2 linked regions of the Mytilus edulis genome follow. The protein of the gene in region 1 binds, or shares a complex with, the protein of each later gene. Links are inferred from orthologs where the notes say so. Each region holds a gene or a part of one and is shown on either strand. Other genes may lie near its edges.

Evidence for each region. Proteins that work in one complex are often made in the same cells at the same time.
Region 2: actin-related protein 2/3 complex subunit 3-like (region 1) and actin-related protein 2/3 complex subunit 4 share a complex: the UniProt entries of both Caenorhabditis elegans proteins name them as parts of the arp2/3 complex. The link is inferred for Mytilus edulis from reciprocal best matches to the Caenorhabditis elegans genes arx-5 and arx-6.

Annotation. Positions count from the first base shown.
Region 1 is NC_092349.1:81,609,414-81,616,864, reverse strand, and holds the start of actin-related protein 2/3 complex subunit 3-like, read right to left. Parts: upstream 3,014-7,451; 5' UTR 2,779-3,013; coding exon 2,773-2,778; intron 1,405-2,772; coding exon 1,308-1,404; intron 237-1,307; coding exon 160-236; intron 1-159. Other genes in the region: GPN-loop GTPase 3-like, read left to right, coding at 3,144-3,191, 7,418-7,451. UniProt on the Caenorhabditis elegans protein: Functions as a component of the Arp2/3 complex which is involved in regulation of actin polymerization and together with an activating nucleation-promoting factor (NPF) mediates the formation of branched actin networks.
Region 2 is NC_092344.1:98,209,989-98,218,073, reverse strand, and holds the start of actin-related protein 2/3 complex subunit 4, read right to left. Parts: upstream 3,014-8,085; 5' UTR 2,943-3,013; coding exon 2,940-2,942; intron 1,847-2,939; coding exon 1,728-1,846; intron 1,452-1,727; coding exon 1,340-1,451; intron 907-1,339; coding exon 811-906; intron 98-810; coding exon 1-97. UniProt on the Caenorhabditis elegans protein: Functions as actin-binding component of the Arp2/3 complex which is involved in regulation of actin polymerization and together with an activating nucleation-promoting factor (NPF) mediates the formation of branched actin networks.

The DNA of each region.
Region 1 (7,451 bases):
TTGGTGGAAATTATATTTCAACCCTCCATATCAACAAAATAAAATAATCCATAAAATCAATCACTGTGAACAAACTTTTACTGTTACTTTTGAAAAACAAAACAAAAACACTTATTTAGTTTTAAAAGAAAACAATCTTTTCTACATAGCAATTCTCACCTTGATTTCATAATTTCTAAAAAATATATTGGCCTTGAAATAATAAATAGCTTCATCTATAATGTCTGAGTCACTACCTGAAATAAACATACAGATTTTTATAGTTCATTCTTATGTTGTACTGTTATATCACTGTCCCAGGTTAGGGGGAGGTATGGGATCCCGCTTAACATGTTTAACCCTGCCACATTATTTAAGTATATGCCTGTCCCAAGTCAGGATCCTGTAATTCAGTGGTTGTCGTTTGTTTACGTGTTACATATATTTGTTTTTCGTTCTTTTTTTTATATAAATAAGGTCATTAGTTTTATCGATGAATTGTTTTACATTGTCTTATCAGGGCCTTTTATAGCTGACTATGCGGTATGGGCTTTGCTCATTGTTGAAGTCTGTATGGTGACCTATAGTTGTTTATGTCTGTGGCATTTTGGTCTTTTGTGGACAGTTGTCTCATTGGCAATCATACCACATCTTCTTTTTTATATACAGATGAAAACATCATTCAATTTGTTTATTTTGTAAATCTTCTTATGTCTGAATTCTATAGTGCATGTTAAATTACTAAATTTGCAAATCAATAGATTTTTTATCTGTATATAAATGATATATCAAGAATATATTGAAAAAACTTAATGTGGTGGCAATAGCATGAATACAAAGTATAAAAGTTTGTTTACATGTCTAAGTCTGATAAGTTACATGTAAATGACATAATTTGATAATATAAAAGCACTTTTAAATTGAGATTTGATTTGTTTACATGTATGTCATGTATGCGTAGAATTGCATTGATGAAACATGTGAAAAAGGTTCTGCCACTCAAGACTGACTTTTATATTAAATATAGAGTCTAATATTGACAGAAACTTAAAAGAAAAAATATAAAATTTATGAATTTTAGTACTTACTAATACAGTTGAATTCATATACATGATATATAAATAATAATTATAAAGTAAACTGAAGTAAGCCTAGAATTAAAGTTCTGATGAAATGATAACATTTTGTCAACCCCCGAATTCATATATCTAAGTAGTGAAACTAAATAAGATCATATTTGATAATGATGTCTTCTTAAAAATGTAAAATTGACATATTGTGTAAAATGACTACTTTGTAAATTTACATTCTTATGTTTTAATACATACTGTCTTTTGGTGCTGGTCCTTTGTAACTTGTTCTTAGTGGCACCAATGCTACATTTCCTATAAGTTTAGGAGGGTTTGTAAACTGTGAGTGATAAGCCTGTAAAATACAATAACACAGTGTTTTAATATACACTTTCACAAGGCAGGCACCCTATATCTAAATCTAATCTTCCTTGCTATCCCAACTAGAACTTGAACTGTAAGCTATTGCTCACGATTGGTACCCCTACTGTCAGTGAAGGCTATAACTATAGTGACAAAGTAACCAGATACTCCGCAGGGCACAGCTTTATACAATCACAGATCTCGATCTCAGATCAGTTGGGGCAAGTATTGACACAACATTCAAGCTGGATACAGCTCTGAATTTGGATTAAGATTAAATACATGTAGCTGACAGAGAATGAACGTGGTCTAATGAACTCAATTTTTTTTTTGCTTTTGAGCAATTCACTATGCTGTTGAATATTAATCCCCCCCCCCAAAAAAATGTTTAAAGAATTTTTTTTTTCACCTCCCCCTTTCCCATATGCCAAAAATAATCTCAATTCAAATTTCTAATGAAGTTTGCAACAATAACTACTCATTTACTCATTGCAGTTCTTTATTTCCTCACAAACAATCTGCTTGACTTTAGTTATCCTCGTCACATTTATTTTCAACTGTTTTTTCAAGTGATGTAATTCTTTTCTCATAACTCTCCATTATATGTTTGCACCTTTTTTCTATCTCAATATCGGTAACTGCATGTTGTTCCATGACTATCCTGCATTTTCCACAAAACCACATTGCATCTGTTTTACATAACATGCTGTATTCCGCTTTTGTTTTCTTAAGACAGGTTGTGCAAAAATGTTCCTTACACCTTTGGCATTCCATAAGTTGAGCCTCTGGCTCTTTGAAGATTTTGGTACATTTAGCGCATGTCCATGCCTCCTCCTCGTCTTGACTTATTTTTTGTGACGATTTGGGACCTGTTGTACTGCTTTTTCTAGTTGATGCCATACTTTTTAAATAATAAAAATAGGGCTTATCTATTTTTTTTTACCTGGCTGAGGAAATTGCATAAGGCTTCCTTACACCAATTTCATTTGAAGTACTTTATTTTGTTCTATTTTTAATTAAAGAACGAGGGGTTCCCTATCCTTGATTGTTGTATTTCAAACGAAGCCAGACTATCCTAATTGTATTTTGGTTTAAAGGACAAGGCTGCCCTATCCTTTACTAAATTCGATTGTCAAATGGAGCTAGACTATCCTATTGTTGACAGGGCTTCTCTATCACTTGTTTAATTTCTTTCGGGACAAGGCTTCCTCATCCGTTTGACATATTATGAAAATGTAGACTGCACTCTCAAATGATAGAAATATGGCATGCTATGTTATGATAAAAAGAATACATGCGAATAAATATAAACTTAATTCATTAAAAAGTATCCTATATGATATGAAGACAAATTATTTACTGGCATTTTCCTTTTTCAATGTTTCTGTTACACCCCAATCACTTCCTTGAGAGGCCGCTTCAAACAACTACAAAAATAACTTAAAAAATGTCAAGGAATACATCCAAATATATTTCCTTTACATGAAAAATAATCTATAAAGGTACCAAACTGCTTTTTTTATAATAATAAAATGTAAAAAATAGATACATTCCCACCTAAAAATTATATTATTTTGATGTGTCACAAGCGGCAACGGTTTGACAAATAACCGAAAAAAGATTAGTAGAAGCTCACACACTTGAATTGTATTTTGTATTGCACCATAAGGTCCGCAAAATAGTCAAAAAATAACATACGGTTCCGCAGCTAGTATTGCACTTGAATAAGAAATGCCACGATATGGACAATTAGTGATGGGTCCGGCTGGAAGTGGAAAGGTAGTGACGGGTTTTAATTTTGGTCAACTCAAGTGTACAAATATAATTTTTCTCATATAAACTGCTTGTGGTTTCTGTATAGGAGGGACGAAAAATACCCAAGGGACAGTCAAACTCATAAAACGGAAAATAAACTGACACACTAAATATACTGATAAGTGATGCAGTGCTACAGCCTACATAAGGGTAGTAATGGGGTACCCTCATGACATATATAGGTAAAAATTCTTGCCAAATGATGTTAACAGTAATTTTTAGTGCATATCAGCTGAATTTGATGAAACAAGTTTTTTTTCCCAAAAATAAGGGTAACGATTATTATTTGAGACATCTTACGAATCATGATAAGGAAATTTTGACAAATCACGCTAAAATTTTAACCAATTTGATGCTAACGTTAGTCGAAAATGACTGTTTGACGCCTCATGGTAAAGGGGTATTACTAACCTCATACATGTACATGTGTATGTAAGTTCTGTTAAATATACTGATTTATTTTGCTACTTTAAAACTGAACTCTGTGGAAAACTGCATGAAGAATCCTTTTTATTAAACATTCTGAGATCAGAACTATGTCTGAGGGTGGTAATGCACTTTACTGTCATGTGTCAAACGGTCATTTTCAGCTACTGTTAATGTCAAATTGGTTAAAATTTTACAGTGATTCCTCAAAATGTCCTTACAGTGATTCGTCCGATGTCTCAAATAATTATCGTTACCATTATTTTTGAAATAAATTAGTGAGATTCGTCAAATTCAGGTGATTTTTTATCATCTAAACATTCAGGGGACTAAATAATGAATAAGTGATTTAAAAATCACTTATATCATTAAGTCCCCTGAATGAGTAGCAAATTTGAAGCTTTGTCTCCAATTGTAATTTTGTAGTTTTACCAAAATTTCAAACACATAGGTTTAAATAATATCTTTTCATTAGTAAAATTGAAAAAAAATGTATTTTTTGCTTCTTTGAAGTGGAAAGGTTTATGCCTTTGATGCTATCATTTAGCTGCAAATTCTATTTTAGTTGAAAAAATGCTGTTATAATGGCTTTACATAATGAACTGATACTTTCTTGACAGATTTTTCCCAGCAGTGGGAGTATTTTTCCTTTAAAGTTCAAGGTTTCATCTTTCAGATTATGTAATAAAATTCTACTGTTCGGATAAAAATTTCACTGTTCGGGGATGTTGAAATTAGTGGGGGTTATTAAAATATTGATAGTTAAAGAAGTGATTTTTGGGAATGAAATTGAGGTATGATAAATTAAATCACTTGTTCTAGTGATTACTTTGTACTACTTAAATAGGTGATTATTAAAGAAAGACAACTCTTAATTCCAATCTTTATGGAAATAATGCTACTTGAATCAGTGATTTAGAAAATCACTCATTTAAGTAAGTCCCCTGACTGCTAAAAGAAAGTGTACATTTTATTGTCATGGACTAAAAATTACCATTAACTTCATTTGGCAAGAATTTTTACCATTATCTATCATGAAGGTACCCCCATTACTACTATTTGTATCATTATTTAATATCTCTGTGTCAATATATGTTTCTCACTTGTAACCTATAAAGTTTGCTGAGGCATGAGGTTGGTGCATCGATAACATTTCCAGGTAGAAAACTTCAGTGACTGAATTTTTGGCTCTCCCTTGACAGTCACATCATTAGTAAGTATGGTCTGACTACCCTCATGTCTGTGTGCATGGTTTGGGTCACCCAATTAGGCAGAAATTATCTGTGTCTGTTTACTCATTCAATATTATAGAATTTTATTTAACTTTTATACAAGTGAGAGGTTTAGCTAGCTATAAAACCATTTTCTACATTTTGAAGTTAGGAATATGTCAGTTGTTTCCATTCATTCAATGTTTAAAGTAAATAAGTAAGATGTGTTGGAGCTTTAAATTTTGCCATTTGATATTAAGGTTCTTTCTGAGTTGAATTTTCCTTGGAGATCAGTATTTTTTGTTATTTTACTTTTAAGTAGCTTACCAAAAGACATATATTCTTGACTATAACATAAATAACAATATAAGCTTTTTTCTTAAAACTTTTGTATCAAGGTCACGAGCTTCAGGTATGTATGTATGATCATTTAAAAACATTGTTAGGCAATGCTTTGTTTCTGAAAAAAATCAGTAGATTTTTAGCTCACCTGGCCCGAAGGGCCAAGTGAGCTTTTCTCATCACTTGGCGTCCGGCGTCCGTCGTCCGTCGTCCGTCGTCCGTCGTCGTCGTCGTCGTCGTCCGTCGTTAACTTTTACAAAAATCTTCTCCTCTGAAACTACTGGACAAAATTAAACCAAACTTGGCCACAATCATCATTGGAGTATCTAGTTTAAAAATTGTGTCCGGTGACCCGCCCAACCAACCAAGATGGCCGCCATGGCTAAAAATAGAACATAGGGGTAAAATGCAGTTTTTGGCTTATAACTCAAAAACCAAAGCATTAAGAGCAAATCTGACATGGGGTAAAATTGTTTATCAGGTCAAGATCTATCTGCCCTGAAATTTTCAGATGAATCGGACAACCCGTTGATAGGTTGCTGCCCCTGAATTGGTAATTTTGAGAAAATTTTGCTGTTTTTGGTTATTATCTTGAATATTATTATAGATAGAGATAAACTGTGAACAACAAAAATGTTCAACAAAGTAAGATCTACAAATAAGTCAACATGACCAAAATGGACTGTTGACCCCTTTAGAAGTTATTGCCCTTTATAGTCAATTTTTAACCATTTTTCGTAAATCTTAATTATCTTTTACAAAAATCTTCTCCTCTGAAACTACTGGACCAAATTAAACCAAACTTGGCCACAATCATCATTGGGGTATCTAGTTTAAAAATTGTGTCCGGTGATCCGGCCAACCAACCAAGATGGCCGCCATTGCTAAAAATAGAACATAGGGGTAAAATGCAGTTTTTGGCTTATCACTCAAAAACCGAAGCATTTAGAGCAAATCTGACGTGTAGTAAAATTGTTTATCAGGTCAAGATCTATCTGCCCTGAAATTTTGAGATGAATCGGACAACTCGTTGATAGGTTGCTGCCCCTGAATTGGTAATTTTAAGGAAAATTTGCTGTTTTTGATTATTATCTTGAATATTATTATAGATAGAGATAAACTGTAAACAGCAAAAATGTTCAGCTAAGTAAGATCTACAAATAAGTCAACATGACCAAAATGGTCTGTTGACCCCTTTAGGAGTTATTGCCCTTTATAGTCAATTTTTAACCATTTTTCGTAAATCTTAGTTATCTTTTACAAAAATCTTCTCCTCTGAAACTACTGGACCAAATTAAACCAAACTTGGCCACAATCATCATTGGGGTATCTAGTTTAAAAATTGTGTCCGGTGACCCGGCCAACCAATCAAGATGGCCGCCATGGCTAAAAATAGAACATAGGGGTAAAATGCAGTTTTTGGCTTATCACTCAAAAACCAAAGCATTTAGAGCAAATCTGACATGTGGTAAAATTGCTTATCAGGTCAAGATCTATCTGCAACAACAAAAGAAAGAGAGTTTTTAAAGACCTCAGCTGGCTATACAACCCTTGCACAATCAACTGAATTTTGCAGAAATCATTAATAGGATAGATTGCCCTTATATGATAATTTTTTATTACCTTTTTGTTTTTTTTTGGCAAAGTGGGGGGGGGTTGCGCAACAACAAAACTACTTCACAACTTTCTCATTACTTTGCATTTCTTGTTAGATAAATTTTACAAAAATTCTCCCCTGAAACAACTGTTGAATTTAAACAAACTTGGTTTAAATCACCACTAGGATATCCAGGGACCACTGTGTATGATGACCCTGCCTGCCCACATGGCTGAAATTAAACATAGGTTTCAAATGCACTTTTTAGTATTATATCTCTGAAACTAAACGACAGTACAACAGTTGCATTTATCATGCAACAATTGTAAATAAAAATATCAGGTGAGCGACACAGGGTCCTTGGACCCTCTAGTTCTAAGTTTTTTACCAAAACCTAGTTTTTAAATTTAACAGAAGTAAAACCATACTACGATACACATTTTTATTGATATTTACAGATCTTAATTATGTTTGTACCTTGTGAAGCAGTTGTTTCTTATATTGAAAAGTAATATAATTTAAACATGTTAAAAAGTTGGAACTAAAGTGTGAATCTTGATTGACAAATTTGCATAAAACTATGCAATGTATTATACAACATTATTATATTTCAGTCTACATACTGCAGCAATATGGTAAAACATGCAG
Region 2 (8,085 bases), on another chromosome or scaffold:
CTATTTCTTCCATAAAATGAATTATAAAGTCTACAAGTTTATGTTTAAACATTTCTTCCGTATGTACATTCGTTACTAGAAAACTAATATCATAACCCTGAAACAAAATTAAAACATTCCAATGTTAAAAGTTAGAATTATAGAAACAAATAACTGAACTAAAAATAATAAAATTGTGTTATTAAATTTTCATTAAAATCCTCCACAATACACCTTTATGAATATACATGTACTGAGATTGGTCTTTTCTTTATGTTATTTTGATCTAATAATACAATTGTTTAAAACTAAAATGGCAATATTTAAACAATACAAAACATTAAACCTTATATATAATTAATGAACCATGAATGAAGTGCAGGGCTTAATAATATTATAAATGCAACTTGTATATGCCAAAGCTTATAAAACTTTATATATTATACTATTGACTTATTATAAATGGTTCCCTTTAAACTGACCTAATCACAATTTATCAAACTTATATATAGTTAATGCTCAGCAAAGAAAATGCACACCTTAGTCTAGCTTTTGCCAATAAAAGCTGGGCATCATTAACAAAGGTATACATGTATGTTTGTTGTGCATGTACAATATAAAAATAACAAAGAAAATTCTATTCAAGACTGTGAGGTTGTTTTTTTTAATATAGATTTTCCAAGTGAATTATGAATTTATTCCCATCTTTGTAGTTCGCTTCTAATGTTGCAACTCTAATTTTAAACACACTTTAATGCAGAGCCTAATCTTATTTTCAGAAAAAAATCCAGAACCATCTTAATTTTTCATTCTAATATAATCAGCTCTTACCTCTACAGGTTTTCTCCTAAGAATAACAAAATTTTCTGCTCTTTGCATCATAAATCTGGTGAATTTGTGACATAAGATTTTTTCTATATCATCAGCCTGTCAAAATATAAACTTCTATTTACATTTGTACATTGTTTAAAATAGTAACAGTCATCATTTCTTGAGATGTCATTTAACAAGTGTATTAGAATTTACTGTTTTGATTACTGCATCTTACCATTAGCAGTTAAATGTGTATAACCTGGGGGGAGGAGGGGGTAACCTTAAATTAGGTCGTACAGTTGTCTTCAATTGCTTACATCCACTTCATTTGAATTTTGGTCAATATTAGACTCATTGGCAATCATACCACATCTCCTTATTTCTATTTTATCTATTTAAGAAACTTTATTTGCAGACCCTATCAATAGCTTATTCCCATCCTTAATAAATATATTTGTTATTTGCTACTAAATGTTAAACAACAATCTTTCATACCATACTTTTTATTAAAATTATGATGTACATGAAGACAAGTAGCTATAATTACCTGTTTGATACCTATACTTATTCTTAGAGAATTTACTGAGCCCTCTATCAATACTTTTTCTTTTTCATTTCTACTAATCACAACTGGCGTAAGAAGAAGTTCTTTACTTGATCTGAAATTAAAATGATAGGTTCAATTAGTTTTGTTATTATCTGTCTATACATGTACACTGAATGTATAAGAATGAACAGTGTGTCAATATTACATAATTTATTTGAATGTTAATGTTTAATTTCATTCTTTGAGACTGGAAGACAGTGTGTCACTGACTGGAACTTAGAAGATACAATTTTTCTTGTCACTAAATTTTTTTGTTATCAAATCATACCATGTAAGAGGAATTCTGTTATTTACAAACTTGTAGACAAGTACAGGTTACTTTACTTACTTGACTTCTACTTCTGGTTTGTTGTGACGTTCAACAACTTGTGAGTTGAAATTCTGGACACATATGGCTGCTGTAAGAGTGTGCTTGATGGCATTCAAGTAAGGCTTCAAAGTAGCAGACTGAAAAATAATAACCATTTACTGATAAGTTTCAAAATATCAGCCAAGTAAGCAGTCATTCTTACATATTCCTATAAGAAAACAGCTTTATACTACACACCTTACCTAATATTATTTTACAAGTGTATCAGGGTTCTTAATAATGCAAGTCCAAGAGTCTAATCATTTTCAAAACTGGTCAGTTCAAAGATATATTAAAATTGTTAAATGTTGTATGAACTTAGTGCAAATATCTTAATTTTATGACTAAAGATTAAAAGTCCAAGTCTCATACACTCACTTACAAATGTAGTGAGAACACTGAACATGGTTTATAATGTATTATCTTACCTCCTATACATTCCTAGGAATGTGATTGGTTAAAAGGGTCCTCATGGAAACCGTGTATATTTGATATTAGGTTAGTAGGGAGGCGGGGCATATTTCATACATGGTTAGTAGTGGAGTTGCATCCCTTTATATTCCATATAAGGTAGTAGGGAAGCGGGGCTTATTTCATACACGGTTTGTAGTGGTGTTATGTCCCTTTGGATGGAGAGTTGTCTCATTGGCACTCACACCACATCTTATTTCTATTTCAATGTTACCAATTTGGATGTCAGAGCACTGTAGAGGGAAGTTAAACCTGCAGATAGATCTTCAGGTCAACATATGAGACCATAAAGACCAATCAAGGCCCTGAATCTGGTTAAAAGTCCAGTCTAGTTATCAGAATTTAGACAGAAATGTGTGAGGAAAGGCGAAAATCACATATTCAATGGTTATTGATTTACCATTGCAGGCATCTCCCCCTTTTCAACAGATTACGTAAGGAACAGAGAATTCCTTAGAAATGTAAAGAACATGATGAGAGGATACGAAAAATAGTTTAAGACAGACATAAATGTATCATAAAAATCGGCTTCTCTATGCTTCCGGTTAGAACATTTATCAGGAAATGAAATGATTTCCACTGTATGCCTTAGTTAACAGATTCCATTGGAAGTTGCAGACTAAATATGTGACTGTGCATTTCTTACGCGGGCATGTAATCATAAAACAGGTAACTACAAAAGGAACAGTAAGATAAAATTGCTTTAGAATCAACACCCACCATCTCGTACTGTACCAATAACAGGAAGTAATTGCAACACTTGCGCACTTCTCCGCTAAACTGGGTCACGGAGATACCAGTTATTAAATATCAAAGCACTAAAGAACTATAAGTATTGTTGACATTAAAAAAAGTGAAAAAGTACTCAGAAAATAATATTCCGATAATATAATCATGAAAAAGTGTAAATCACCCGTATACAAGCACAACTCCAATATATACTATCATGAGGTAGTGCAAGTAATAAAAGTCTCGCTAGCTCAAAATTACTAGTGAATCAAATAAAGTCTAAACCTTAAAATATTCACCATTTTATAATAATAATAATAATAATAAATTCTTTATTTAAAGAGGGTAACTCAATTAGAAATAGTCTAATTTTCATTGAGGCCCTCAAACAAAATACATGCATACAGTTAACATTCATACATTCATACATTAATTTACAATATATATTACTAGTATATACACAATTCAATCATTGAAATATACAAAGGGTAATAAATGACAATATTTGATATAGTTTTGTTAGAGGAAAACAAATTAGTTGACTTGCATATAATTTTCAAGAAAATGATTATAACTATGTTTCTTGAATAATTCCACATTAGGACATTTCTTTATTTCGAGTGGTAAATTATTCCATACTTTGGTTGCAGAATAATGAAAAGATTTTTTATAAAAATTTGTATTTGGTCTTGGAACAAAAAGATCATTATTAGAGACAGATCGTAAGTTGTGGCGTTGCACATCATCAATATTTAGTATTGCTAAGTAATCAGGTGTTAGCCCATTTACAATTTTATACATTAGAATTGATTGTTGGTATTTTATTCTTTTGGTAAAAGATAGCCATTTTAAAGAAGAAAACATGAAATTAGATGGAATAGAAATATCGCATTCCAGTATAATTCTTGCTACTCTTTTTTGAAGTTTTATGATTCTATCTGAATCTTTTTGTAATAAATTTCCCCAAACTGAACTACAATAGTCTATATATGGTAGAATATATGCATTATAAAATAGTTGCCTTGTGTGTATTGGCAAATATACTTTAATTTTATATAAAAGTGATACTTTAGATGAGATAATTTTACATATACGATCAACATGATCTTCCCAGCTTAAATTTTCATCAATGTCTATTCCAAGTAATTTGAAAGAATGGACATTCTCAATACATGTTTCGTTGACGGTAATACATAATTCTGATAGTTGTTTAAGTTTTTGTTTTGAACCCAATTTCATACACTTAGTTTTTTGTGCATTGATTTTCATACTGTTATTGTTACACCAAGATTGTATAGCATTTAAATCATTTTGCAATATGCTGTTTATTTTTTCAATGTTTTTATCATGAAAATGCAATGTTGAATCATCAGCATATAAATCCATATTGGATTGTTTAACATGAAGTGAAATTGGATTGTTTAAGATGATAGTAAATGATCTTAATTATTCTTTAAGTCGCTTTTTCAGTTTTTATCTTTTTATTATCTTATTTTCTGGTAAATTGGCTAGAATATCTTTATATTGTAATCCATTATATTTTAAAACAGGACAAATATCTTAAAATATGACACAAAATGATTTTTATATTCAATATATAATTTTAATATAATTTTTATCATACTGAGTAAAGTCATAGTTTTTTATAAATATGAAATGAAAGAGATAATTTAGATTTTAAGCATTGACTAAACTCCCTATGTAAATTACACCCATATTAGCATTTATTATCTTTATAATATTATTGTCATTGACATGCATAATAACACACATGTAAATCAAATAAGCTTATAATAATAACCAAATTAAAAGCCATATCTGTATATAATTTTAAAAGTCATAACATACTAAAAACCATCCACAAAGTGTGCTGTACATAGTTAAATATAAAGAAAAAAGAAGTTTCTATACCAAATTACCCTTATATATACTAATATTAGAGGTGTGTCTGTCTATAAAAAAGCTTATACGACGAAAAGCCGGTATTTACCTTTACTCATTCTTGGCGTGAGACATAAGCCAGTTAATTATTGATTATTTTATATTCTATCACCTGTGTATTGTAAAATAAATCAAACCATTATCACTTGTCAATTATCCGACAACTTGGTCAAATATCAACTTGTTCTCGCATACCGGACTCTTTCGATACACTCGGGCTTTTACTTATTCAATAATAAACAGTTGTAAATATCGTACAGAGTAAAACATAGTGCGGGAAAATGTTTATTAATAAAATATTCATGAATGAAACGGTCTCGCCTAGATATCTTTTGATTTTCTCTTCAAGCAATGGCTGATCCGCAAAGTAGTGTTTGTGATACTTATTTTTAAAATGAAGTTAAATTCACCTGAATTGTCGGTGAACATTCATTCCTTTTTTATTCAAGCTTTAATCTTTTCAAAAGATTTAGAGTAGCAACTCAAAATATCCAAGAATCAGATTTCGAACACTAGAACTACATTATCTTGGAGCAGAACATTGCGATAGTCTGTAGTTGAGGCCGAAGCCTATGGAAAGTTGCGATAGCAAGCTATAGCAAACTTTCCAAAAAATAAAAACTAAGCAAAATTTATCTAACTTAAAAAAAAATTAGTAATATTTATACGTTAAAATCTTATAAATTTCTCCCTTTAAATGAAAATTCATGGTTACTTATCTGCATTCCTAATCAAATTTTGCTAACTTAATTGAAAATCTGGACCTTAGTGCACTGTTATTTACAATCCAAAATGGTGAAAGACACCCATACTATAAACTTAAACTTGATTATATATTTCTGCATTTCAGGAGTAATTAAGTCATGACACCATTTAACTTAACCACCAAGATGACTTCTGAAGACTGTGGACGGTCATATAGCCCGATATAAACATGAATAGAAATTGAAGGTAGCATATGCAATTGGGTTTTTCAAGGTCTGTTTGATTCCATATTATAGATTTAAAATATGTTATTCTTCGTTTTTATCTGTGTATAAGAATGAATTTGTGTGGATAACATCAGTTTACCAAATGGCTAACCCTTGTCTAGCTGTTAATGTTGACATCATTTTCTTTTTAATAGCTGAACACGCCTAGTATATGTGGTACTCATATCTAGCTAAGGGTTAATTTCAAGATCACACTTTGTTTAAGAATCACACAAAAACCAATCTCAAATAAAATTTAACTGAATAAGTCAAAATGCTGGACTATTTTTTATCAAGAATATGTTAATTATGCCAGTCGACAGTATTCCAGTGGCATTCCATCGGCATTTAATTGAGGGACTGCAAATATAATCAAATCCTTGTCAAAGGCAAGAGGAAAAATTATCAAACAAAATCTTTAAATTTCCCTTTTAGATATCTTGATGAAGACCAATCACCTTTCAAAGTCTTGTTTTGGTGAATTATAACAGCATATATCTATTCTTATGAATTTACAATAAAGGACAATAGAGACTGTATTAAACCTACCAAGCTATGGGATGTGGATCCTCAAGTACTGAAAAACAACAAAAGCAAACTACCACTAGTGATCACCAAATCGCACTTGATAGAGTAAGTAAAATACTATCATGTAAAAATGAATTGAGATTTAAACTAACATGCAAAAGTATTCGTAAGTAACATTGCACATAATTTGTAAAAACAATGTCGTACTTAAATAGGTTAGAAAAAGAAAAAAAATATATTCTTGTTATATTAGGACCTAATGATTTGATTTGTTCTGTTTTGTCTATACTTTATTTTAATATTACCTCTTTGTTCTATATCTTTTTCTAAACTGACAATAAGCAGCTTAAAACTAAATTCAATTAATTTCTTTTTGTCAACAACCCATTTTCGAGCAGTAACATACCATCTACATGTTATCTGAATATTTGGTTTAAATTCATACTATGAATAAATTGCTTGAAGTGGGCATGGTTACAATCTTATAAATGTTACCTCTTTGTTAAATGTTGTGTGTACAACAAAGACAGGCAAAAAAAAAAGATGGTTGAAATATGGCTGACCAGCAGAGACTATGGACATTTGATGCACTTTGTGTGCAGTCTTTTACTCTAAAACTACTAATAAGTAAATTGTAATGAAGAAGGACTGAAATTCCTACTTTATAAATGCTTTATGCTTGACATCACAAATTGGTTTATCTGAACTCACTAATGGCATTTAACTCATTGATTTCTATTGTAAACTTATTTCAATATGATATTATTTTCTCATGTTCCTGTTTGTAAAACTTTAAGCCTGATGTGATTTTATTGTTATTGTGTGATAAGTGATGCATGTCTAGTAGGAGAGTATGTAAATTGTCAAAGCTCACACAGTTTTGAGTTCATGTGACTATTTTCATTTTCATATATATTTGTCTGTTTTATACAGGAATTTGTATACTATATTTTTGACCTGTTGAACAAACAACTGTATTTAATTTCAAGATCTTAATAGATTGCTTTCTACAGCTTTCCTCTTTTCTATTCCTTTGAGTATCCAACATGAACGCTTCTGTTAGAATTGGAAGAAATTCAAAAGCGAAAGTAGATAAAATATGAGCATTAAAGTAAAGATGGCTAACTTTCTGTAAAATAAAACCTTATCTTTTCACACTATTACATTTAGAAAGTAACTAATGAAATATCTAATTCAAGGAAAAACAATTTTTAAAGTACATGTATATATTTATTTTTGTAAAAAAAATAATATTTGTGATACTTGCTGTGTAAATAGACACATCAACATTTATAAAAAAAATGTGTTTTCTTTCCTATAGTTTATAGACATACTAGAATAAGATGGGTCTTTTGAAGGCAACACAGACCTCTCCTTTCAAAAATATAGTGGTAAATAAATAATAATGTAGCATGCATGGTAATCACCATTTTTTCATAAATATTTTTTAAGGATCACCAACTAAAAGGCATTCTTTCAATATTGTCAGAGTTTATAATTTGCATAGATTTTTTTATGAAATTTAAAATTTATTTTTTGTAGAAACATCTTGCTGATGGGATATAACAATTGCAATTTTAATGGTAGAAAATAGGAATTCATAATTCATCCTCCCACTGATATCCTAAATGGTGCTACATTTTTATTATAACTTCATTTCAACATTTATATTCATTTAATATAAATAAGTACAATTG